7 linked regions of the Callithrix jacchus genome follow. The protein of the gene in region 1 interacts with the protein of each later gene in a pairwise test. Links are inferred from orthologs where the notes say so. Each region holds a gene or a part of one and is shown in the gene's direction. Other genes may lie near its edges.

Region 1 (3,500 bases):
TTACTAAGATGAAATTAAAAGAAAAAACTTACTGATCTTTTCACTTGATGGGGATAGATATACATTTACAAAATCTTTATGTCTTAGAGGATAGCAGATTTTTCCTATTTCTTGAGATTTTTAGTTTCTTTAAATCTCATACATAAATGTTGTAGGGAGAGTATTTTATGGTTGTCAAGGATTTTTTAAAGTTTTCTGCTCTGTTGACATGAATTGTTACAAAGCAACAGCTATTAGTCATTGTAAAATAGGACTTTTTTAGATGTACTCCCTTGTATTCCTCAGATTAGGACTTTGCTTTAGGTAGGCTCTACAAATAAAGAGATTTGGCAGGAAAACAATTTTTGGAAGGAGTACTAAGTGCAGGAGGCAAGAAAGACATGCAGAAGGGGAGGAGGTATTCCTGGAGCTTTGAAAGACTGCTTTGAGCCTGGCTTTAGACTTCCTACATGTTTAGATGTCACTTGTCAGTATTAAAATAGCCTTTTTAAAAAAATTGTGAATTTTAAGAATCATGACAATTTAATAACAGTTTTAAAGAGAAATTTAAAAATTATGTTTTAATTTTATCTTTTTCATATACTTATTTTCCCTTTTACATGCTTGTCATACTTTTTCCTATGTGCACACACATTCTTATTGAATATATTCATAATGCAGGAATGTTTTTCTTTTGACATTATGTGGAATGTTTTGCTTGTCATTATCTTTATACTTGTATATATTAATATTTAGTACTTCAATAATATTTTATTGTTATTCTGAGTTTGCTTTCATCCTGAATATAGTAAGTAATTATGTAGGAAACTACTTAATATATATTGTTTTTGTCTTCTTTTAGTTTTTGTCTCTTTTTTTTCTTTTTCTTGAGATGGAGTCTTTCTCTGTTGCCCAGGCTGGAGTGCAGTGGCACGATCTTGGCTCATTGCAACCTCTACCTCCTGGGTTCTAATGATTCTCTTGCCTCAAGTCTCCTGAGTAGCTGGGATTATGGGTGCATGCCACCATGCCTGGCTAATTTTTGTATTTTTAGTAGAGACAGGGTTTCACCATGTTGGCCAGGCTGGCCTTGAACCCCAGACCTCAGGTGATCCACCTACCTCAGCCTCCCAAAGTGCTGGGATAACAGGCATGAGCCACCGTGCACAGCCTTTTTAGTTATTGTCTTAGAAAAGAGATTGTTCAAAGGTTATGAGTATTTGTATGGATTTTAATGTTTTTGCCTATATGTAATTTTAAAATCTCTTCTCTGCCTTGATCCATGACAGTGAAAAAGAAGGAAGAGATAGAAAAAAAGACAAACAGCATTTGAAGAGAAAAAAAGAATCTGATTTACCATCAGCTATTCTTCAAACTAGTGGTGTTTCTGAATTTACTAAAAAGAGAAGCAAACTAGTACTTCCTGCCCCTCAGGTAATCTGATAAAAGCAAATTTTTCACTGTGTGAACTTACATGCCATATCATTTATTCAGCAAATGTTTGAAGGCCTGTGTACCACGTTTGTGCTGGATGCTCTTAAGAAATTCAGTTTAGTGGGTGAGACACACACGAAAACAAGTGGCTGTGGGCTGGCCGCTGTCCTCACACCTGCTGTGGTGGCTCATGCCTGTTTTCGCAGCACTTTGGGAGGCTGAGATGGGCGGATCACCTGAGGTCAGGAGTTGAAGACCAGCCTGGTCAACATGGTGAAACTCTGTTTCTACTGGAAATAAAAAAATTAGCCAGGTGTGGTGGCATACATCTGTAATTCCAGCTGCTCAGAAGGCTGAGGCAAGAGAATTGCTGGAACCCTGGAGGTGGAGGTTGCAGTGAGCCAAGATCGTTCTGCTGCAGTCCAGCCTGGGCGATGGAGTGAGACTCCATCTCAAAAACAGACAGACAAAAAAGCTCACAAGTAATTGTGATATAATATGATAAGATAGTTTCAGCTTCTCTGTATACATTGTTGTATCAGGTCCTAAACTGTTCATATGATGGTTTGGTAAGTAATTGTTAGCTTTTAACATTTTGTCAGCAGGTTAGGGCTACTTTTTGTAACTGACCAGGGTAAAGGTCTGATTTGGCTTTGTGGACTTTAAGCTGCCTTTTCCCAGGGAATGTTTTGTTGTGTTACGCTTCTCTTTTTTGAGACAACAGTTGTGAATCTGGAAGTTGTGGAGAAAAGAGATACAAACATTCCTTCATTCAGCTTATTACACGCTGTATTCTTTTGACTTACTGTAGTTGGTCAGAGACATGGGACCTTAGAGTAACCTTTTATTTTTTTGAGTAGTACAGCTTGGTAGAATTGGACAGATTTAATGGTGTAGAGGAAAGGACATGGGAGACCAGAAGAACTGTTTTCCCAAATGAGCACATTGGCTGCATCAACATAGGATTCATGGGCATAAACTAATTTTGTCATATCCTGCCATTCCTAGTGGGGATAATTATTAAATTGAAATTTTGTCTTTAATTTTTTTCTTAGTACACCTTAGGATATTTATTTTGGTGAAATTACTGACATGATACCTTTAGATTTTCTTACGGATCTGGTGGTTCACTGGACTCTTTCTGTGTGATATTTTAATTGGTTTTCAGTCTTTCTCCTCCCACATATTGATGAATAATTTTGTATAAATACTGCTATTTTACATTCTTGGTACATTGATACGTTGATTTGAAAGAATTTCAGCATGGAGATACAGCCTATGTAGCTTGATTCTATATCATATATGAATTTTCCTCCAACATTTGTTAGGGAAGGCTTTCTGAAGCTATATTATGGAAACTTTCAAAGCCACAAAAAGGATGAGTACTACAGTGAACCCCTGATACTAATCACACAGCTTCAGCGACTCATTTTTCTGGAATATGGAAATTTAAAGCTGTGTCAGTTTTCAGTTAAAATGTTGGTTTTTTTGTTTTGTTTTGTTTTTTAAATAGAGACAGAGTTTCACTTTGTTGGCCAGTCTGATCTCGAACTCCTGGGCTCAAACAGTTTGCCCTTCTTGGCCTCCCAAAGTGTTGGGATTATTAGTGTGAGCCACTATGTCTGGCCTCAGTTAAAATGTTGCTTACTGTGATAATTGTGTCCATTTAGATTTCAGATGCAGAACTCCAGGAAGTTGTAAAAGTAGGCCAAGCAAGTGAAATTGCACGTCAGACTGCCGAGGAATCTGGCATAACAAACTCTGCTTCCAGCACTCTTTTGTCTGAGTACAATGTCACCAACAACAGCATTGCTCTTAGAACACCACGAACACCAGCTTCCCAGGACAGAATTCTTCAGGTAAGGTGTCACGTAGTAGAATGAGCCTTTTACTTTGTTTATTGTCCTTGGAAGTACCATGCAGCAGAACTAAGTGGTTTGGTTATGTTTCTTCCTGTGTAAATGGTTTGAAACTGAGTCCTGAATGCATAGATCTTGCAACGTTCTGTAGTAGAGAAGCTAAATAGATTCAGCAATAAGGTAGTTTTAATTTCACATTTATTGTAACTTCTAGAAGCCAGCTCTTCT
Region 2 (3,500 bases), on another chromosome or scaffold:
AGGGTGGAGGAGGGAGGAAGGAAGGGGAGCGGGGTGAGGGGGAGGGGGAGGGGAGGAGGGAGGAGGGAAAGGACGAAGAGGAAAAAAGATGGAGGAGGAGGAGGAAAGATGGAGGATCATCCTCACAAAGGATACAGAAGGCCAACAAGTTGGAGGAAAACTTGGAGAGGAAGAAAGTGTTAGGGAAGGAGAGAGGGGCTTCTTGTCAAGCTCTAATGTGAGGGAGTCGTGTGGAGGCTGAGAATTGACCATTTAGTTGACAAGACAGTTTGCTGGTGACCTTCGTATATCCCCTATAAATCCCAACTAAACCAAACACAAAATCTTTTACAATATTTTAATCTGTTGTTAACTATTTTATGTCAGGAAGAAAGCAGGATAATATTTCAGCTAAAATTTTAGACTCCGTAGGGTCTGGAATAAATGAGCCAAATCGGGAAACAACAACTTCCGAAATCGGTAAGAAAAGCAGATGCTTTAGTTTCATTCCTTACCCCTCTAATGCGAATGGCTGTATCTCAGTGTAGTTACGCATTTAAAAAGATGATTCTAAACACTTGTATGTTCATCAGACTTTTTCATGATGTACTGAAGGTTGGAAACGCCTTGGGGTTTTACTTGCTTAAATATGATAAGTTACGTAACTCTATTAACTCCGCTTTAAGTTAATGATAAGCTTTTTGTACATAGCTTATGTTTACATTTCAGTCAGAATGCTTTCTTAATTTTGCTGTTGGGATTTCACAGTGGTGCGGGTGACGGCATAGACAAACGGGTTTTCTGTCTTCATCTTGCCCTGCTGTATTCTACTCAGAACATGCTCGCAGTAGAGATGTTTAAAGTGCTTCTCAGGCACCAGGAAAGCCAGCCTGTCACAGCCAGTCACATTTCAATCCTCGTCCTGCTGGCTCAGAGGGGATGGGCCTTGGTTCAGTATCAGTAACTGCGGTCATCTGTGACTACAGAGGGAATTCTTCAGAAATATTCAAATTCTTCAGCTGCATTTAAGGAAAAAATAGTGTAAAATTAGACTTTAGGGGAAGATAAGATTTTTGCTGGGCCCAACTTGCCTTGTATCTGTCTGACTTTGATGAATTCTGAAGTGTAGCTGGAATGCCGGTGGGTGCACCTTTCTTTCTCTGCATGTGTTCCCCCTCAGAGCTGGCACTTCCAGGATTGGGCATGATTGGTACAGCAGCTGCAGTGTGAAAGGTGATCTGTGGTTATTTTATTCCAAGTAGGGCCACTGTATGGGAGTTACCTGGGTCTTCGGTAGCATGGGATGGCGCAATAAGAGGTGACTGAGTTGGAGCAGGGGTTTTCACTGGAGAGAGCCCTTGCCACGTGGGAATGCATGTTACAGCTCAGCAGCATCTTGTGATGTATGTTTTCTTTTTCTGGTAGCTTTCCTCATCCCCAGGCACCTGTGGGGAAACGCCCAGCCGCTCTGCAGTTCTGTACACAGGACAGGGCAGCAGGCAGCGGCAAAAGCCTGAGGGGTAGACTCCTGGTAGCCCCCATCTGGGTAGCTGGGACCCCATCTCTAAGACCGCTGGGGCAACTCCCCACCATCTGCTTTACCTGTCTCATGACCTTAGCCAGCCATGTGAGTGGGTTCTCTGAGCCACAGTTTCCTCATCATAAATGGGCATAAAGAGACCTGCCTGAGGGTGAAGGAGGTGATGTCCATAAGGCAGCCACTCACCCCGGATCAGGGCGAGACAGCGCTCATCCTGAGATGGGCAGTGGATTTAGAACAAATTGAAAGCATTCTCCAGACAGGTAGTGAGCACTACGTAGGTAATAGCCACAAGTGTGGAGATAGCACAAGCCAGGCAGTGAGAAGCACAGACTCTGACCTTGGTTTCTGCGTTCAGCTTTTTGCAGAGATAGGGATGGAGCCTGATGCCACCTGCTGGGGAACAGTCTCTCTGTGGCGGTGGCCGTGCAGGGGGTTGGGAACAGTGGCCAGGAGCAGAGCCTGCGCTCTGGAGAGACTCCTGGTCCCTCCTCTCTCTCCTCCCCCAGCCCTGGCCCTGCTCCCCTGGGGTCCTGCCACGGCACGGGCCTGGGCTCTCTGTCCTCAAAGTTGCAGGTGTTACCTTGCACTGGCCATGGCTAACATTTGGAATTGAGAGTTTGCTGGCAGTTGTTACTGTTCCTTGATTTCTTCATTGAGGGTGAACTCCAGGTGCACTGCCATTGGGTCTGGTTAGCGAGCTGGTCCTCACAGTGCCTTTCCTTCTTCGTGCTTCAAAGAAAAGTCCACGTTGCCAAAGAAAGCTGGCCTGTGTTGCAGTGACCGAGCCAGCCCTAGCGAGCCCTGTGCCCATAGTCTGCGTCATCATCAGAGAATTCCTGGGGTTTATGTTATCATTTTGATTTTTTGGGTGGATTGAAGAGTTTGGCTGGGCGCCGGTGGCTCATGCCTGTAATGCCAACACTTTGGGAGGCAAAGGCAAGTGGATCACAAGGTCAGGAGTTCAAGACCAGCCTGGCCAACATGGTGAAACCGTCTCTACTAAAAATATAAAAAAATTAGCTAGGCATAGTGGCAGGCGCCTGTGGTCCCAGCTATTCGGGAGGCTGAGGCAGAGAATTACTTGAACCTGGGAGGAGGTTGTAGTGAGCCGAGATCGTGCCACTGCACTCCAGCCTGGGCGACAGAGCGAGACTCCATCTCAAAAATAAAATAAAATAAAAATGGCTATAAATTGAAAAAAAAAAAAAAAACAAAGAATCACAGACTAAGCACAATCTGTTGTCTGGAACTACCTGGTAACCTACTTGCAGCCTCTCAGCTGCTGGGTCTGGTTCTAGTGGGGAGGCAAGTGGAGACTGGCAGTGTCAGGTAGCTCCAGAAATGGGGGCGGGGACAGCCTGCTCCTCATGGCCCAAGTAGACCCAGGACACACTCACAGTCTGGGATTTTCTTTCTCCTCCACCTAATTGTGGAGCCACCCATGGGGAAGGAACATTCTAGGTGCATGTTTTCTAAAAACTGCCTTTGGTCAATCCTTTGTCAACTTGCAGTGTGGGAAGATGTAGATAAGTGAGCATGCTCTGTGTTAACAAAACTGCTGATCACCGGCCCTTTGGTGTAGTCTTAATGACTAATTTCAAACTGTTTTATGTCAGGAACAAAAGAAGCTAATATTAACTCAACTAGTATTTCAGATGATAACTCAGCTAGTCTGCGGTGTGAAAATATTGAGCCCGATTCTGCAGTGAAGCAGAAAGGTAAGAATGGTCCCGTTTTACCCTTTTCTGGCGAGAGCAGAGTCAGCCCTCCAGAGCCTTCCCAAAGGGCCACAGCCCAGAGCTCAAGGCTCTCCCTTGGGTCTGAACGTGGCGAGTGATTCACTTCTGGCTTTTTGCATAAACCAGAATCTAACACAGTGGTTTCTTGATAACGGGAGACCCACTCATGTGCTCCCCCATGCTTTGTGAGTGAGAGGAGGTGGCATGGTTCATCACTTGGGAGGTGTCCTGAATGATCC
Region 3 (3,500 bases), on another chromosome or scaffold:
TCAGTTTCCTCTTAACTCCCCCTCCCTGGGTCGCTACAGGCTCGGGACGTGTACGAGGAGGCCATCCGGACAGTGATGACCGTGCGGGACTTCACACAGGTGTTTGACAGCTACGCCCAGTTCGAGGAGAGCATGATCGCTGCAAAGATGGAGACCGCCTCAGAGCTGGGGCGTGAGGAGGAGGGTCAGCCTCTGGGGGACCCGGCTGGTGGGGAGAGAGCTGAATGGACGTTGGCAGGTGGGGGCAGGGCATGTCTTAGGTGGAGCAGCCCCGGGAAGGAAGCTGGGTGGAGGCAGGGGGTGTGGGGGTCTTGGAGGAGCCAGGAATGGGGTCACGTCTCAGGCCTGGGTCAGAGCCTGGCAGGGCAAGAGGGCTAGGGGAACAGTGGAGTAGGATGGGGTATCTGCTGGGGTAGGGGCGGGGCTCAGGTAGATCCCCAAGCTGAGTGTGTAGGGCCCAGAGAACTTGGCTAGGGTCTGGAGTGGAGTGAGGGTTGGGAGCAGAGGTGGTGGCATGCGGGGATCTGCGTCCTGGGCCTCTGCCTCTCATGAACATGTCCGTGACTCCCAGACGATGTGGACCTGGAGCTGCGCCTAGCCCGCTTTGAGCAGCTCATCAGCCGGCGGCCCCTGCTCCTCAACAGCGTCCTGCTGCGCCAGAACCCACACCACGTGCACGAGTGGCATAAGCGTGTTGCCCTGCACCAGGGCCGCCCCCGGGAGGTGTGTGAAGCCTGTCCTAGTCCTGCCCCTGAGGGCCATGGGGGCCTGGCCTCTCGGGGCCACAGTTTTCTGCAGGACTGGGGAGCCACCCACCTTCACCCATAATGTCACCTCCTAGGGGCCTACCTGTGCTTAGTAGGTCTTATTCTACTTCTGATCTTGGGGTTCTTGTCTTGCCCTAGCCTTGCTCCCAGAGCCACAGTGCTCCTGGCCCTGGCCCCGACCCTTAGGGGGCCACAGCTCCCTCTTGGCCCCACCCCTCAGAGCTACTGTTCCTTCCTGGCCTCTTCCCCCAGGGGCCACGGCACCCTCCAGGCCCTGCCCCTCAGAGCCACAGCTCTGCCCCCCCAGTCACCTGCAGAGTCCTGAGTCCCATATGACTTCCTCCTCCCTCCTGTCCCAGATCATCAACACCTACACAGAGGCTGTGCAGACGGTGGACCCCTTCAAGGCCACAGGCAAGCCCCACACACTGTGGGTGGCATTTGCCAAGTTTTATGAGGACAACGGGCAGCTGGACGATGTGAGCACCCTGCTGCATGTGCCTGTGTGTACGTGTGTGTGTGCATGCATGTGTCTCAGCCTGGACTCTGTCCTCCCTGGCAGGCCCGTGTCATCCTGGAGAAGGCCACCAAGGTGAACTTCAAGCAGGTGGATGACCTGGCAAGCGTATGGTGTCAGTGCGGGGAGCTGGAGCTCCGGCACGAGAACTATGACGAGGCCCTGCGGCTGCTGCGGGTGAGAATGGGCCTGGGCTTTGGGGTGGGGGCTGCAGGTTGTACGGCCAGGGCCGGGAACAGCCCCTGAGCTCCCCAGCCACCCTCTCCCTCTGCAGAAGGCCACGGCGCTGCCTGCCCGCCGGGCTGAGTACTTTGACGGCTCAGAGCCCGTGCAGAACCGTGTGTACAAGTCACTGAAGGTGTGGTCCATGCTCGCTGACCTGGAGGAGAGCCTCGGCACCTTCCAGGTGAGCTGCCTGTGGCCAGGGAGGGCCGGGGCCCAGACTTGGCTCCAGAGCCAGCTCCGACCTGTCCCCTCCCCATCCCTGCAGTCCACCAAGGCCGTATACGACCGCATCCTGGACCTGCGCATCGCAACACCCCAGATCGTCATCAACTATGCCATGTTCCTGGAAGAGCACAAATACTTCGAGGAGAGCTTCAAGGTGAGGGGCCAGGGCGGACCCAGAGGCCCCGGATGGCCGTGTCTCTTCCCAGGGGCCTTAGCAGCTTACAAGTTTGCTGGGGCTTTTGAGACACAGTAGAGACTAGGTGGCTTGAACAGCAGAGACCCAGCTTCTATGAGTCCTGGCAGCTGGAAGTTTGGGATCAAGTCCTGGGCAGGGCTGGTTCCTCCGGAGACCTCTCTCTCCAGCTTACACATAGCTGCTTTTTCCCTGTGGCTTTGTGTGGCTCTTTCTTTGTGTATGTCACTGTGGAATTCCTTTTTTTCTTTTTTTTTTGAGACGGTTGGAATGCAGTGGCACCATATCTGCTCACTGCAACCTCTGCCTCCTGGGTTCAAGCAGTTCTCCTGCCTTGGCCTCCTGAATGGGATTACAGGCTCGCGGCACCGCACCTGGCTAATTTTTGTGTTTTTAGTAGAGACGGGGTTTTATGCTGTTGGTCAGGCTAGTCTTGAACTTCTGACCTCGTGATCCACCTGTCTTGGCCTCCCAAAGTGTTGGGATTACAGGTGTGAGCCACCTCGCCCAGCAAAATTTTTTCTTTTTAAAATTCTTAAATTTAAAATTTAAAATTTTTTCTTCTTGAAAGGATATCAGTCATAACCAATTAGGCAGCCCCTAATGCCCTCAGTTTAAGTTAATGATCTCGTCTTCAAAGGAGTCTACCTCCTGAGATACTATGGGTTAAGATTTCAGCATACCAATGTTTTGTGGGGGTACAGGGTCCTGCTTCCATGTACACCCATGACTCGTGGGGAGGGTGTTGGTGCCAATGTGTGTGGTCTCTGCCTGCCTCACAGTTTAGGAGATGGCCTGTAGGGGGGCCATGGGGTGTCTTGCGTGTCTCCTTGTCAAGGTCCTGTCCCAAGGCGCATGTCTCCATATTGAGGTCCTGTCCCGAGGCCAGAGTGGTCATGTTTGTGTGTTTCTATGGATCGTGTGGGCTTTACGCAGATACACAAATGGGGAGGTCGTACATGCGCCTACATGCTGCTGCCTGCCCATCTGCCTGGGGGGGTGTGGCCTTCTCCCTGGGGACTGGCAGCCAGTGTCAGCGGAGCTGGGGAGCCACCCACCGTCACCCATAATGTCACCTCCTATGGGACCAGACTTTGCTTCACAGGTCTCATGGCACCCCTGTTCTTTTGATTCTCAGAGGGAGATTGTGCAGAGCAAAGACCCCCATAAATGTCATTAGGCACAGGGAGGCATGGACAGGGAAGGGCCTGAGCGAGACCCTGGCAGGCTCCCTACAGGTGTGACCCAAGGACATCCCAGCTTCCCAGTGGTCTCTACCTACAGACTCTTAACGTGTGACTCCCCCTCTGGCAACAGGCGTATGAGCGCGGCATCTCGCTGTTCAAGTGGCCCAATGTGTCGGACATCTGGAGCACCTACCTGACCAAATTCATCGCCCGCTATGGGGGCCGCAAGCTGGAGCGGGCACGGGACCTGTTTGAACAGGCTCTGGATGGCTGCCCACCAAAATATGCCAAGAGTGAGGCGGGCAGAGGGAGTGCGGTGGGCAGGCAGGCCAGGTTTCTGACTAGCCCCGGCCGACCACGCTCCCCTCTCCCCGCTGCCCCACACA
Region 4 (2,345 bases), on another chromosome or scaffold:
GTCTCTGGTTGTGCTGTCAGTGTTGATCACTGAGGTTATTTCCAAGTGCTGTTCTGGGGAGGCTCCTGGCTCCACTCAGCTTCTATAAAGTAGGGCTTAGGTCCTGTGTCTCACATCAGAACAGTCTCCTTGGCAAGCACATAGTAGAAAGGTTTGTTTCTCAGCTATAAAGTGAATATGGCAAATTTCATCTCTAAAGTCAAGGAATATATAGAACATCACAAGGAATAAAAGCAGTAAGTGATTACATACTCAGAACCTCCCGGATAGGCACAGAAGGCAACACTGGGAATTCCACAGGGCTGAGTTAGCTAGTTGGTTTGAGCCCAAAGTGACTTAAAATTGTCAAGACTCACTTTTGATAATCTTTGTATTTCTATAGGAGACAGGGCAGAAGGGGCAGAAAATAAAACAAGTGACAAAGCCAACAACAACCAGGGCCTCAGCAATAGCAGTGGCGGTGGTGGCAGCAGTAAGAGCCACAGCAGCACCTCCCCTGAGGGCCAGGCCTTGGAGAACCGGATGAAGCAGCTCTCCCTACAGCGCTCAAAAGGAAGAGATGGGATTATTGCTGACATAAAAATGGTGCAGATTGGCTGATTCATCCTGGGCCCTGCCCATGTGCGTATCAACATTTATACATGGAACTGGAGAACATTGTGCCAATAATCATTTAATATATGCCAAATCTTACGCGTCTACTCTAAACTGCACTAATGAAGTTTCAGTGACCTTGAGGGCTGAAGATGGTTCTGGGTAAGAGTCCTGAGCTGGTTTGTTTTTCAGAGCAGAGTTGTCGCAGGCAGACTGTGACCAGGTTCACAGCCTTTGTGGAACATTCCTTGTAATGGCACTGTGGAAGCAATAACTAGTTCCTATGAAAGAACCAGAGCTGGGAAGATGGCTGGGAAGCTAAGCCAAAGTGGGGCCAACAGCTTGCTTCTCTTTCTCTTCTCACCCTCAATTTTGAATGGGAAAATGGAGATTTCACTCCACTTTTACCCCATGATAGCTAAATGATAAGGAAAACCCACATACAAAGCAAAAACTCAAGTATTGAGAGCACATATTTTTGACCCGGTGGAGGCTTAAAAAAATCCAAGAACACAACTCATTTTCATCACCTCTGGTGTTCAGAGGGGGCTTTTTAAAAAGCGTGTATGCTAAGATACCCATTAAAACCATTTCTAGAAAGGCTACCAAGAGCTGCACTTTTTGGGATGGGGAAGGTGAATGCCAGTGGGGATGGGGGGGGCATGAGGGTAGGAGGGACTTATCATAGAAGGGAATCTGTGGCTGTGGGGGAGAAGGTTCTACAGCATAAACCTTATTCTGCCGGCTAAGGGGATTTATTCTAAGAGAAGTGCATGTGAAGAATGGTTGCCACTGTTATTAGATTGACAAGGTGTTAATTTATCTGTAGGTTGTAACTTTAAAAATAAACGAAATTATTTAAGGGTTATGCTGCACTAGTATTCCTTAGAGGAAACTTCTTTAAAGCTAGGAAAGGGAGTGGGCATGTGTTGGCAAAGGCTGTTAAATAGAAGCAACAGAGTCTGTTATGTTAATAGTAGTAAGTGTTAAGACTGCTTTTCTTTAATGTTTTCATGGTAATGCATATTTAGAGCACTGTATTTTTGTCTCGTTTTGTTAAGAAAATTTAGCATTTCTAAAAAAACCCTCTTTCAAATTGTTAATTCTGTCACAGCCTGTATATTTTAGTCATTTGTAAATCTCTTCATACAACAGTGACTCCTCCTTTTTTGACTGATACAGTATCCTAATTACAAGGTTATTTTGTACTTGTCTTAATACATTGAGTGTAATAAAAACCGCTTGAGAAAAGTTTCCTCTGTGACTTCAAATAAGAACTCCCAGTATTGTCTAAATCTTCTATGCCACCCTCTTGCCATAAGGAAGAACATGGAGTGCTGTGGTCACCAGTAATCATTTTCAATTAAGGTTTTGAAGAACAGTAGTAATTTAAGCCTTGATTACCAAGGTTTGAGTTCTACTTCTGCTGCTGCTAAAGCTATGGGCAATGAGGAGACACAGTGACAGATAAATAAAGATGATGTGGTGATGCTGGAGGAATGGTCCTCAGCCTCAGCTGCACACTGCAGTCTCCTAGGAAGCTTAAGTGTTGCTGTCAGGTCTCTTCCCCAGAGTTAATTAACTGGGGGTACACTTGTGCATCAGACTTTTAAAAGCTCCCCAAGGGGATTTCAAATGTGCATTCAGAGTTGAGAATCAGGTGGATCCTTTGTCTTGTGGAAATGTTATAATGGTGGACTCTTAATCTGCATTTCATTATTAAAACATGCTGTGGAGAAAAAGGTCCTTCA
Region 5 (3,980 bases), on another chromosome or scaffold:
TCTTTTTTTTTTGAGACGGAGTTTCGCTCTTGTTACCCAGGCTGGAGTGCAATGATGTGATCTCGGCTCACCACAACCTCCGCCTCCTGGGTTCAGGCAATTCTCCTGCCTCAGCCTCCTGAGTGGATGGGATTACATGCACGCACCACCATGCCCAGCTAATTTTTTGTATTTTTAGTAGAGACGGGGTTTCACCATGTTGACCAGGATGGTCTCGATCTCTTGACCTCGTGATCCACCCGCCTCGGCCTCCCAAAGTGCTGGAATTACAGGCGTGAGCCACCGCGCCTGGCCCACATTTTTAATTTCTAAAGAAACGCTGTGTCTGATTGTTTTATTCGCTTTAACATTTTCAAGATGGAATTTTGCTTTGCTTGCTTTCCTCTTTTTCATAACCCACTTCTCTCAGATCCATAACACACCTACCTCAAAGTATCCCAGGAAAGCACCCCTGTGAAGCTGCTAGCCACAGCCTGTCACAGGTAAGTCCTCAATTTAGCTAACAATAACGATGGTATTACTGTTACTTTTACAAAGTGTTTTCCCTGGCACCTTCTGGAAGTCCTCCCAGGAAAACGGATTCACAGCGCTCCTAATTTTAGGGGCCCTAAGGGGAGCCAGCTACATTTCCAAATGGTGGGGAGGGGTGGAGGGTGGGCGAAACGACGTGGGGAGAGTTGAATAAGGAGGAGACAGATGGTGCGGGTGTTGGGGGAAGGGACCAGAGATCCTGGAAAACTTATGTTTCCCAATTCGCAAGAATGTTTCCATTTAACCACTTCTTGCCTGACTCCTGATTCCACACAACAGAAAAGCAGGGAGTTTCAAGATTTGGGGCCACCTGTGCCAAGAGCCTGGCTACTCCGGGTGGACAGAGACAGGAGCATAGTAGGTAGAGGAAGAGCGGGTTTTGGCCCAACCCCCTAGGGTCTGGGACCCAGGTGAGAGACGGTCTCTCCTTCTTCTGGCAGGGGCAGCGTAGGGGTGGCCGGCTGCTGGGACTGTCCCACGAGGGGGCGCGTCTCGGGCCCTAGGACCCGCCCTCGTGGCGCTGCGCGCGGGGAGGGGACCCGGGAACCCAGGCGCCTGGCGCTCCGCCTCCCGTTTCCGGGGCAGCGCGGTTACCTGCACCGCCCAAGCCGCACCTGGCGGAGGCAGAAGTCACAAACCCAGCGAGCTCAGAGCGGCGAAGCGGAGAGGAGGGACGGCACCCGGCTGCAGGGAGGAGAGGGAGGCGGCGGCGGCGGCGGCGGCGGCGTGGAGGGCGCAGTGCGCCGCGCGGCGGAGGAGGGCAGACGGCGGCGGCGGCGGCGGCGGCGCTCGGCTCGCTCTGCCCGGCCGGCTGGGCGCGCACCCGGGCCCAAACCGCGCCGCTGCGGGCGCACATGGCAGCGTGAGAGGCCGGCGGCGAGCGGAGCGGGCGGCGCCGGGTCGGGGCAGCAGGGCCGCATGGACAGCGGCGCCACACCGGCCGGCCCCCACTAGGGCCCCCTGTCCGAGGGCGCCACCCCCCCATCATGGTGCCTCGGCGGCCGCCCGGGCTAAGAGCGGCCGGCTGGAGCCGCTGAGCCCCCGCGGCGGCCGGGAGCTGTATGGGGGAGCGCCGGCCGCGCTCGGGAAGATGCCCCGGCCGGAGCTGCCCCTGCCGGAGGGCTGGGAGGAGGCGCGCGACTTCGACGGCAAGATCTACTACATAGACCACACGAACCGCACCACCAGCTGGATCGACCCGCGGGACAGGTAGGACTCCGGGACCCTCCTCCGTGCCCTCACACCCCCGCTCGGGCCCCCACCTGCCCCTGGAGCCGCCGGCCGGGACTGGGCGGGGCGGGGGAGCTCTGCGTGCCTCTGCGCTCTCCTCAGTTCGTCACCCCCGCTCCTCGCAACCTTCTGGAGTGCTGCTCCTGCCTCAGTGGGCTACGGAGAGGAGGCGCCTGCCGGGGAGCTGGCCCCGGCTGCCCCACCACCATCCCCAGATGGAGGACTTAGGCCCCAGCAGGCACCTGCCGGGAGTTTTGACCTTAAGCTCTAGGTCCCCCCCCCCGCCCCCTTTAGGAAGATAGGTCGGACGGGGGCGGGTGTGGGGGGAGCGACCTAGCCGGGAGAAACCAGGTCTTCCCGGGGAGGCTCCCCCCCAGCGAGGGGGTGGGCGGATGGGGATGGGGAAGTGTCCGGTTTGTAATGAGTGGTCGGGACCGAGCATTCCTTGGGAGACTACCGGAGAGCGGACACTCGGCGCCGAGGAAGGCAGCCTGGGGTGTGCTTTTTGACAGGTGCCTCCGAAGCTCCCGAGAACAGCACAGGAGCAGCCAGGGGGGCTTGGAGCCCGAGGGTGGGGAGGAAGTGAAGAAGCCGGGGGAGGGCAGATGAGGGAGACTGGTTCTCTAGGAATCTAGCAGCAACTTGGAAGCTGTTAGGATGGAGATGGAGGTGAGAGGCCTCCGGGAAAGCCCTGTCCCTTGCCTCTTTCTCCTCCCTTTCTTTGCTGGTGCGGGGAGGTGGGGAGGGCGAGGCTCCTCGGCCCTGCACCAGCGGGAACTGACCTTGGTGGGTACCAGGCCGCTGTAGTTTGAGATGATGTGCAGAGGCAGGTGGAGCGTGAGATGGCTCAATGTACCTCTCACCTCTCCGGACTTTCTCCTGGTTTCGGCTGGCATTTATTTGCTCACACGCAGCACATACAAATACATAGACCCTATCCATGTACGTCTTGGAGTCCCCGGACCACGGTGTTTTGACATGGGTCTGTGGTCAGAGTGTCTTGGGGAATGTGGAGTTTAAACCTTGTCTGTGACCTTGGGGGTCAGGTCCCTGTAAAGCAACTAAGGTGAATTTCTTGGACTCTTCATCTTGTGTGGTTGGGATGGGGGTGTCCCAGAAGTGTAGCAAGATGTGGGTTTACAAAAGAAAAGAAGCAGAAAGAAAATGAGAGTTGAGATTCCCAGTAGTTTCTGGGAGCACTTTGTTCATTCATTCATTCAGCACTTCCTGGATGCCTCCTCTACACTTAGCACCATGCTGAGTGTTTTATGAATGTAATCTGGAAGAGAAATATTTAATGCTAGAGAGCATCTCTTAGGCAAGCTGCTTCAGCCACTGAGCCTCAGTTTCCCTGTTTGTCAGATGAATGGTTTGCTTGGAAGGGAATATTGGGACGCCTAAAAGTTGGAAGGGACATAGAGCCCAACTCCCATTTGAAACATAAGAGAAAATGTGAAGCCCAGAGGTGTGATTTGCTCAGGTATTTTGATTTTTCTGCCTTTCTGCATACCAGTTCTTCCCCAGTTCTGAAGTTCTAACCTTCAAACTTGTCATCCTGACACACTGCTTCCCACCCCTACTCAGGTCAGTTGGCGGCTTTGTTACTGTGTTGGTGAACTTGGCAGCGCGTTTTCTCTTGTTCTTTTCTCAGAACAGGCGTGAGTTCAAGTGTATGGGACCTGCCCCAGTTTAGGTCCCTGCAGCTTACTGAGTGAGGCCTGTGTGCTGTTAGCAGGTGGACGTCCTGTTGGAGGGAAAGGAGGTCCCCGCCAACACTGATAATCATGCATCTCGGCACTTCTAATACAGCAATAGGAAGCTTCTCTCAAACAGCAGTAATTCTTTACCCTTGCAAAAGGGCAAGCAGGAGAAACTGATTGGCTAGAGCACAGCCCCCCAGATTTGAGTGCTATATGGGCCGCCGCCGTGATTTTTTTTTTGCTATATCCACCTGTGCTATTGCTTACTCACTACTTCACTTTAGATCAACTCACTTTAAAACTTTTTGTACCATTTTCACAAATGGGAAACTAGTTATATCTATTGTCATAAAAGGGAAACAAAAATGACAGGGGGAAAAACCCCAGTGTTAGTATATATCAGCTAGGTACTATGGCCAGCCTAAGGCCCCAGCACCTGGCCTGCCCAGCCGTTGTTTTTAGGCACATTGGCAAGCCGTGGAGAGGCAGCAGAAACATAGTGGCACTTAGGTGAGCAGC
Region 6 (3,500 bases), on another chromosome or scaffold:
TTCCTTTCCTTCCCAGGGCCTCCAAGCCCTCTGAGGCAGGAAGCCCCTCTCCCTCTTGGTCCAGCCTGGCTCGGCTTTTGTGCCTGAGAGGTGTCCTAGCACCTGTCTGCCAGGAGGTGGCACCATGAGCAGGCACACTGGGGTGTGGGGTGGGCCAGGGGCTGCTCAGGGAACCAGAGGCTGTTTCTCCGCAGAATGACCCAGACAAGGAATATAACATGCCCAAGGACGGCACCGTGCACGAGCTCACCAGCAACGTAGGCACCACTGGGGAGGCGGGAGGAAGGCGGGCCCAGGTCCCTTCCAGAGTTGCACCTTCGTAGTCCCCGGTGGCAGGATGGGTGGCAGGATGGGTGGTGGCGTGCTTAGTGTCTGTAACAGACGAGGCCTTTCCTGGCAGGCCAGAGCCCACAAAATAAAACACGGTTTCCAGCCTCGCTCTTTCCTGGGTGAATCCCAGCCCGGGCTGGTCCTGGGCTCTCAGAGGGGTCTGTGTGGGAGCCGTCGGCCAGGCCTGCCACTTGCCCTTCTGCACCGTCTTCTCCCCACCCAGGCCATCCTCTTCCTGCAGCAGCTTTTGGACTTCCAGGAGACAGCAGGTGCCATGCTGGCCTCCCAAGGTACTGGCACCTCCCAGCTGGGCCCCCTGCCCCACAACCCTCCTTGCCTGGAGACATGAGGTTAGAGGGCAGGGCACAGTGAGGGGCTCTCCAGTCCGTGGATATGTGGCCTGCGCAGGGGCCCTGGGGCTGAGCATCAGGAGAGCAAGGTTTGCCTGCACCTTTCAAGACTAGACACTAGACCTCTGGCCCCTCCCTCAGCCCCTTTGACCTTCCTCGCCCTGGAAGCAGTGTCCGCACTCTGGGAGCAGTGCTGGCTGGTTGGAAGATGTCCTTTCTGCCCCTCTCCGCCTCCCAGATCCTTCTCTCATGTCTGCCTGCTCTAATCAGGCTCGCTCAGCTGGCCTTCCATGGGTATCAAGCATCTCAGGGCCAGCTGGGTGTCTTCCTGCAGGCCCCTGCCCTGAGACTGGAGCTCAGGGGGTCGGCCTGTGAGCAAGAGCAGCTTTCTTAGTCATTCCAAGCACTGAGGTCCCCAGGCCCTCCCATCCCATTTTGGGAGCAGGGAGCCCGTGGGCAGCCACCAGTCTTCGGATCTCCAGCTCTCTACTTTGCAGGGCGCTCCCTGGTCCTCAGAAGGTCCCGCCTGCTGTGTCTTGCTGTCTGTGTTCTGGCTGTTGTGGGGAGAGGTCTGCTTAATGGGTTGACGTGCCGTTTCTAACCTGTTTTTTGCACTTTGCATCTTTTTCCCTCCTTTGTCTCTCCCTGCGTCCCCTCTGTGCACTGCCTTTCACTCCGTAGTTCTTGGGGACACATACAATATTCCTTTAGACCCCCGAGGTAAGCAGTATGGTTCTGCAGCCCCCCTCTTGTCCCTCTGAAGCCTGGTGGGTGAGGTTCCCTGGGGACTGACTCTCAGGACCTATTGGGGAGCTCGGGTCAGAGGGAACATGAGTCTTCCCAGGATACTCTAAGTTCTCTCTCCTCCCTTCAGGGCCACTCTGTCTCTGAGCGTATCCACAGCACCTGCTGGGGTCAGCGCCCTGAATACACCCCACAGGCTCGTCCGGCCTCCCTGCCTTGCCATCCCCCTCAGCCTTCCACACTGTGGAGGCCAGAGCTTCCTCTGTTCAGTAGGGCCTGGTAGAGGGGGATGTTGGAAATGTAGGGAGAGGTGGAGAGACTGTGGGGAGCTCATACTAAGCCTCTGCTGTTGGCAAAAGGGAAGAGGCAGCCTTGTAGAAACTACCTGGGGTGGGCTGGGGGCAGGGAGGGGGCAGGGCGCTGGCATCTCACTCTTGTCCTGCCCACCCTCCTGCTGAACTGGACCAGCTCCTTGGCCACACCACCCCATCATAGAGGGCAGCTCTGGGTTCCAAAATGTCCAGGGCTGGTGCTTCCTGCAGCAGGGGCTTCCCTGTGACTCAGCAGGTAGCCGGCTCTGCCCAATGAAGCCCAGGGCCTGTCTCTGTGCCCCCTCAGACTGCTGCATGGGCTGGGGGAAGAGCCATTGAGGGTCTTGGCTGCTGCCACTGCAATAACAGGCCTTCTCTCACAGAGACCAGTTCTTCTGCCACCAGCTACAGCTCCGAGTTCAGCAAGCGGCTGCTAAGTACCTATATCTGTGAGTGTTCTCCCGGGCGGACCAGCAGCCCTGCTGCCGGCATGCCCTGCCTTTCCCTTCCTTCTATCTGTGCTCTCTGGCTACTCCCAGAGCCCTCTGCTAAGTGCCATCTGACCTTTGGGACCACAACCTGACCTCTAGTTCAGAGGCCGAGGGGAGTTGGGCTAAGGCCTTCTGAAGCAGGATGAGGAGCAATGGATAAGGGTGGGTTAGCGGGTCCTGGGATGGGGTCATTTGGGTCAAACCACCATGGTGGGGATGGCCCCACTTTTCCCTATGCAGGTAAAGTGCTGGGCAACCTGCAGTTGAACCTGCTGAGCAAGTCCAAGGTCTATGAGGACCCCGCTCTGAGCGCCATCTTCTTGCACAACAACTACAATTACATCCTCAAGTCCCTGGAGAAGTAAGTGGCCTGCAAGAGCGAGTCTGTGGCTCTCACCTTCCCCTCAGCTGTGCAGCTGTGCCAGCCCCTGCCCTCCTGGGCTCCCTCTCTTGTGGTCGGGAGGGGAGGGGGTACTTCAGTCTCCTCCATCCCAGGACCCAGAAGGTGGGAGTGCTGCTGCTGTAGAGTTCATGGAGTTTGGGGTGCAATGGGAGGCCCCCCCAGGCATTGCTACAGCCTTTGCACCTAGGTGCCAATCCTGTCCTTCTCTTCTCTGTCCCCCGCCCCCACCCAGGTCCGAGCTGATCCAGCTGGTAGCAGTGACGCAGAAGACTGCCGAGCGTTCCTACCGGGAGCACATCGAGCAGCAGGTCCAGACCTACCAGCGCAGGTGAGAGGCTGGCCTCGCCCTGCCCTGCATGGAACCCCAGCCGTCTCTGTCCTCACCCCAACCCTGTGCCACCAACCAGTCTTCCTTCTCAGCACCTCAGGACAGAGGGATCAGTCATGGGGAACTGCCCTCTGGACCCTAATCTTCCACTTGGTTTTTAATCAAACTCATGGGGTGGAGAGAGAAGCCCCCTCGTCTGCAACTACCTGCTCCTAGAGGCCCACTGTGGCCAGCCACTTTAGAGGGGAGCCTACCAAGTGTCAAGGCCAAGAGTAATTGAAGAGCCGGCTGTCACAGATGTGGGTCATGTTTAGCCTAGGAGAAGCTCAGGGTTAGGAGAGCACTTGAGCTTGGCTGGGCGTTGCTCTGTGGGGATCTCTGTGCTTCCCTGGTCCTCTTTCTTCCTGGCTCTGTGGGGATCTCTGTGCTTCCCTGGTCCTCTTTCTTCCTGGCTCTGTGGGGATCTCTGCGCTTCTCTGGTCCTCTTCCTGGCTCTGTGGGGATCTCTGTGCTTCCCTGGTCCTCTTTCTTCCTGGCTCTGTG
Region 7 (3,500 bases), on another chromosome or scaffold:
AGCAGATAGTACAAATGAAACAAGAATTAATAAGACAACACATGTCACAAATGGAGGAACTTAAAGCACTGCATAAGGGAGAAATGGAGAATGCGTTACAGTCACATCCAAATATTACAGTTAATGAAGATCAGATAAAGTTAATGAATATGGCAATTAATGAACTGAATATAAAATTGCAAGATACTAACTCTCAAAAGGAAAAACTCAAGGAAGAACTAGGAAGAATTTTAGAAGAAAAGTGTGCTCTACAGAGACAGCTTGAAGACCTTTTTGAAGAATTGAGCTTTTCAAGGGAGCAAATTCAGAGAGCTAGACAGACAGTAGCTGAACAAGAAAGTAAACTGAATGAAGCACACAAGTCCCTTAGTACAGTGGAAGATTTGAAAGCTGAGATTGTTTCTGCATCTGAATCCAGAAAGGAACTAGAATTAAAACATGAAGCAGAAGTTACAAATTATAAGATAAAACTTGAAATGTTAGAAAAAGAAAAGAATGCTGTCTTAGATAGAATGGCTGAATCACAAGAGGCCGAATTAGAGAGGCTGCGAACACAGCTTCTATTTAGTCATGAAGAAGAACTTTCCAAACTGAAGGAAGATTTAGAAATTGAACATCGAATAAATATTGAAAAACTTAAAGATAACTTAAGCATTCACTATAAACAGCAGATAGATGGTTTACAGAATGAAATGAGTCAAAAGATAGAAACCATGCAGTTTGAAAAAGACAACTTGATAACTAAGCAGAATCAGTTAATTTTGGAAATTTCGAAGCTGAAAGATTTACAGCAGTCTCTTGTAAATTCAAAGTCAGAAGAGATGACTCTTCAAATCAATGAACTTCAAAAAGAAATTGAAATACTCAGGCAAGAAGAAAAGGAAAAGGGTACACTTGAACAAGAAGTTCAAGAATTACAACTAAAAACAGAATTATTAGAAAAACAGATGAAGGAAAAAGAGAATGATCTTCAAGAAAAATTCATACAACTTGAAGCAGAGAATAGCATTCTTAAAGATGAAAAGAAAGCCCTTGAAGACATGTTGAAAATACATACTCCTATTAACCAAGAAGAAAGATTGATTTTCATAGACTCCATTAAGTCCAAATCCAAAGACTCTGTCTGGCAAAAAGAAATAGAAATTCTTACAGAGGAAAATGAGGACCTCAAACAGCAATGTATTCATCTAAATGAAGAGATTGAAAAACAAAGGAACACTTTTTCATTTGCTGAAAAGAACTTTGAAGTTAACTATCAAGAGTTACAAGAGGAGTATGCTTGCCTTCTCAAAGTAAAAGATGATTTAGAAGACAGTAAAAATAAACAGGAATTAGAGTATAAAAGTAAGCTTAAGGCACTTAATGAAGAGCTTCATTTGCAAAGAATAAATCCAGTTCCAGTAAAAATGAAAAGTTCTGTCTTTGATGAAGACAAAACTTTTCTAGCAGAAACATTGGAAATCGGTGAGGTTGTTGAGAAGGATACAACAGAACTCATGGAAAAGCTTGAGGTAACCAAGAGAGAGAAATTAGAGCTGTCACAGAGACTGTCTGATCTTTCTGAACAATTGAAACAGAAACATGGTGAGATTAGTTTTCTAAATGAAGAAGTTAAATCTTTAAAGCAAGAGAAAGAGCAAGTTTTATTGAAATGTAGGGAGCTAGAAATCATTATTAACCACAACAGGGCAGAAAATATACAGTCATGTGATACTCAAGTAAGCTCTTTATCAGATGGAGTTGTGACTGTGACAAGCAGGGATGCTGAAGGATCAATTTCTAAAGTAAATAGAAGTTTTGGTGAAGAATCAAAAATAATGGTGGAAGATAAAGTTTCTTTTGGAAATATGACTGCTGGAAAACAAAGTAAGCAAGAACAGTTGATTTTCGATCACTTGCCTTCAGTAACAAAGGAATCATCACTTAGAGCAACTGAACCAAGTGAAAATGATAAACTTCAGAAAGAACTCAATGTACTTAAATCAGAACAGGTATGTTTGCTTCTTTATATATGGTAAAGCACAGTCAAAATGTACATTTTACACTTAGAAATGTAGTTCTTAAAACATAAAATATAAATTCATATCCTTACAAGAGAATGAAAATGAACCCTCTAATGTAATTGTAACTTGAGCCTATCATATTTATTTATCATTTAAGTATTTTTTTAAACATTATTGCCTTTCTTGCAGTTAATCTATCTCATATATTCTGCTTAGGAAATAAAACACACTAATGGTTTCAGATTTTATTTTGGAAAGACAAGGGTTTGTATAACTTTTTGGAGAGTCTCAGCTTTAGAAAAGTGATTAGTTTCATTTTGTAATATTTTGAAATAATCTTAAAGATTGGTTTCAGAGTTTTTATTTCATAGTGATGTTTTCAAGTCTCCACAACTGCAAATGAACTCCTAAGATTTTTAGTAGTCTATATAGTTATTAGGTGGTTATGAAATTATATTTTCTTGGAAGAAAAAAAACCCTTGATTCAAGTCCTATTATTTTTTCAGTCTTTGTTATACCTGAAGGGGAAAAAACAGTATTAACTGTAAATATAGTTAAAGAATTATATGTATATAACAACAGAGCACTCCTGATAATTTATATTTACCAGATACTGATATTAAAATAACAGGAAAATTCTGCTGAGTATCTACAGTGTAATGATACTAACTAAAATTTTATGCCTTTCTTCATTTGTCTAACAAATATTTATTGACTTTTGACAAGTACGAATATAGTAGCCAACAAGAGAGAGAGTTCTGGTCTCAAAGAGCATGTATTTTAGTGAGGGAGGCAGGTGATAATGAAACAAGTAGGAGAGTTAGAAATAGTGATTAATTCTGTGAAGAAATAAAACAGGATAATGTGATAGAGAATGATGGAGTGGTGGTGATAGCCATTAAGTATGGTGGTCAGGAAAGGTCTCTTGGAGGAATTGATGTTTGAACTGAGATCTGAATGACACTGAAATTAGAGCAATTGTGAAGACATTTATAAGTTTGAAGAACAGAATAAAGGCCTGTATAATTGAGTTTGAGAGAACGGGAGAGTGGAAGAAGAGTTTGAAGGAGGAAGAGATCTTGGAGAATCTTATAGACTTTGTAAGAAGTTTAAATTTTATTTTAAGTATAATAGAAAGCCATTGGAAAGTTTTTTCTTTTTATTCCTAAATATATCATATTTATGTCCTTATGTCAAATGTTGAGATATTTTATGTTTATACTTATGATTTATATCAAATGTAGAGGTATTTTACATATTTAGTAGCCTAGAGTCAAGAAATTAAAATTGCTTAACACATTTTTTTTTTTAAATCAAGTCTCCCTCTGTCACCCAGGCTGGAGTGCAGTGGCATGATCTTAGCTCACTGCAGCCTCCAGCTCCCAGGATCAAGTGATTCCCCTGCCTTACCCTCCTTAGTAGATTACAGGCATGCTCACCTGGTTAATTTTTGTATTTTTAGTAAAGACAAGGTTTCACCATGTTGGCCAGGTTGGT

The links.
Region 2: the proteins of CDC5L (region 1) and TRAF3IP1 interact in a two-hybrid assay, tested with the Homo sapiens proteins (2 studies listed by BioGRID and IntAct). The link is inferred for Callithrix jacchus from reciprocal best matches to the Homo sapiens genes CDC5L and TRAF3IP1.
Region 3: the proteins of CDC5L (region 1) and XAB2 interact in a two-hybrid assay, tested with the Homo sapiens proteins (2 studies listed by BioGRID and IntAct, with this or other methods). The link is inferred for Callithrix jacchus from reciprocal best matches to the Homo sapiens genes CDC5L and XAB2.
Region 4: the proteins of CDC5L (region 1) and SH3BP5 interact in a two-hybrid assay, tested with the Homo sapiens proteins (2 studies listed by BioGRID and IntAct). The link is inferred for Callithrix jacchus from reciprocal best matches to the Homo sapiens genes CDC5L and SH3BP5.
Region 5: the proteins of CDC5L (region 1) and WWC1 interact in a two-hybrid assay, tested with the Homo sapiens proteins (2 studies listed by BioGRID and IntAct). The link is inferred for Callithrix jacchus from reciprocal best matches to the Homo sapiens genes CDC5L and WWC1.
Region 6: the proteins of CDC5L (region 1) and EXOC7 interact in a two-hybrid assay, tested with the Homo sapiens proteins (2 studies listed by BioGRID and IntAct). The link is inferred for Callithrix jacchus from reciprocal best matches to the Homo sapiens genes CDC5L and EXOC7.
Region 7: the proteins of CDC5L (region 1) and AKAP9 interact in a two-hybrid assay, tested with the Homo sapiens proteins (2 studies listed by BioGRID and IntAct). The link is inferred for Callithrix jacchus from reciprocal best matches to the Homo sapiens genes CDC5L and AKAP9.

The regions. Positions count from the first base shown.
Region 1 is NC_133505.1:52,864,076-52,867,575, forward strand, and holds part of CDC5L (cell division cycle 5-like protein), read left to right. Parts: intron 1-1,268; coding exon 1,269-1,413; intron 1,414-3,083; coding exon 3,084-3,272; intron 3,273-3,500.
Region 2 is NC_133507.1:159,660,508-159,664,007, forward strand, and holds part of TRAF3IP1 (TRAF3-interacting protein 1), read left to right. Parts: intron 1-322; exon of another isoform or gene 323-366; coding exon 367-459; exon of another isoform or gene 460-3,138; coding exon 3,139-3,240; exon of another isoform or gene 3,241-3,500.
Region 3 is NC_133523.1:7,201,175-7,204,674, reverse strand, and holds part of XAB2 (pre-mRNA-splicing factor SYF1), read left to right. Parts: intron 1-39; coding exon 40-184; intron 185-571; coding exon 572-723; intron 724-1,126; coding exon 1,127-1,246; intron 1,247-1,329; coding exon 1,330-1,461; intron 1,462-1,558; coding exon 1,559-1,690; intron 1,691-1,774; coding exon 1,775-1,888; intron 1,889-3,244; coding exon 3,245-3,407; intron 3,408-3,500. UniProt on the Homo sapiens protein: Involved in pre-mRNA splicing as component of the spliceosome. Involved in transcription-coupled repair (TCR), transcription and pre-mRNA splicing.
Region 4 is NC_133518.1:54,070,089-54,072,433, reverse strand, and holds the end of SH3BP5 (SH3 domain-binding protein 5), read left to right. Parts: intron 1-382; coding exon 383-600; 3' UTR 601-1,845; downstream 1,846-2,345. UniProt on the Homo sapiens protein: Functions as a guanine nucleotide exchange factor (GEF) with specificity for RAB11A and RAB25. Inhibits the auto- and transphosphorylation activity of BTK. Plays a negative regulatory role in BTK-related cytoplasmic signaling in B-cells.
Region 5 is NC_133503.1:31,160,590-31,164,569, forward strand, and holds the start of WWC1 (protein KIBRA), read left to right. Parts: upstream 1-1,180; 5' UTR 1,181-1,621; coding exon 1,622-1,740; intron 1,741-3,980. UniProt on the Homo sapiens protein: Regulator of the Hippo signaling pathway, also known as the Salvador-Warts-Hippo (SWH) pathway.
Region 6 is NC_133506.1:131,991,421-131,994,920, reverse strand, and holds part of EXOC7 (exocyst complex component 7), read left to right. Parts: intron 1-194; coding exon 195-257; intron 258-553; coding exon 554-620; intron 621-1,361; coding exon 1,362-1,400; intron 1,401-2,118; coding exon 2,119-2,184; intron 2,185-2,466; coding exon 2,467-2,587; intron 2,588-2,861; coding exon 2,862-2,957; intron 2,958-3,500. UniProt on the Homo sapiens protein: Component of the exocyst complex involved in the docking of exocytic vesicles with fusion sites on the plasma membrane.
Region 7 is NC_133512.1:57,620,490-57,623,989, reverse strand, and holds part of AKAP9 (A-kinase anchor protein 9), read left to right. Parts: coding exon 1-1,991; intron 1,992-3,500. UniProt on the Homo sapiens protein: Scaffolding protein that assembles several protein kinases and phosphatases on the centrosome and Golgi apparatus. Required to maintain the integrity of the Golgi apparatus. Required for microtubule nucleation at the cis-side of the Golgi apparatus.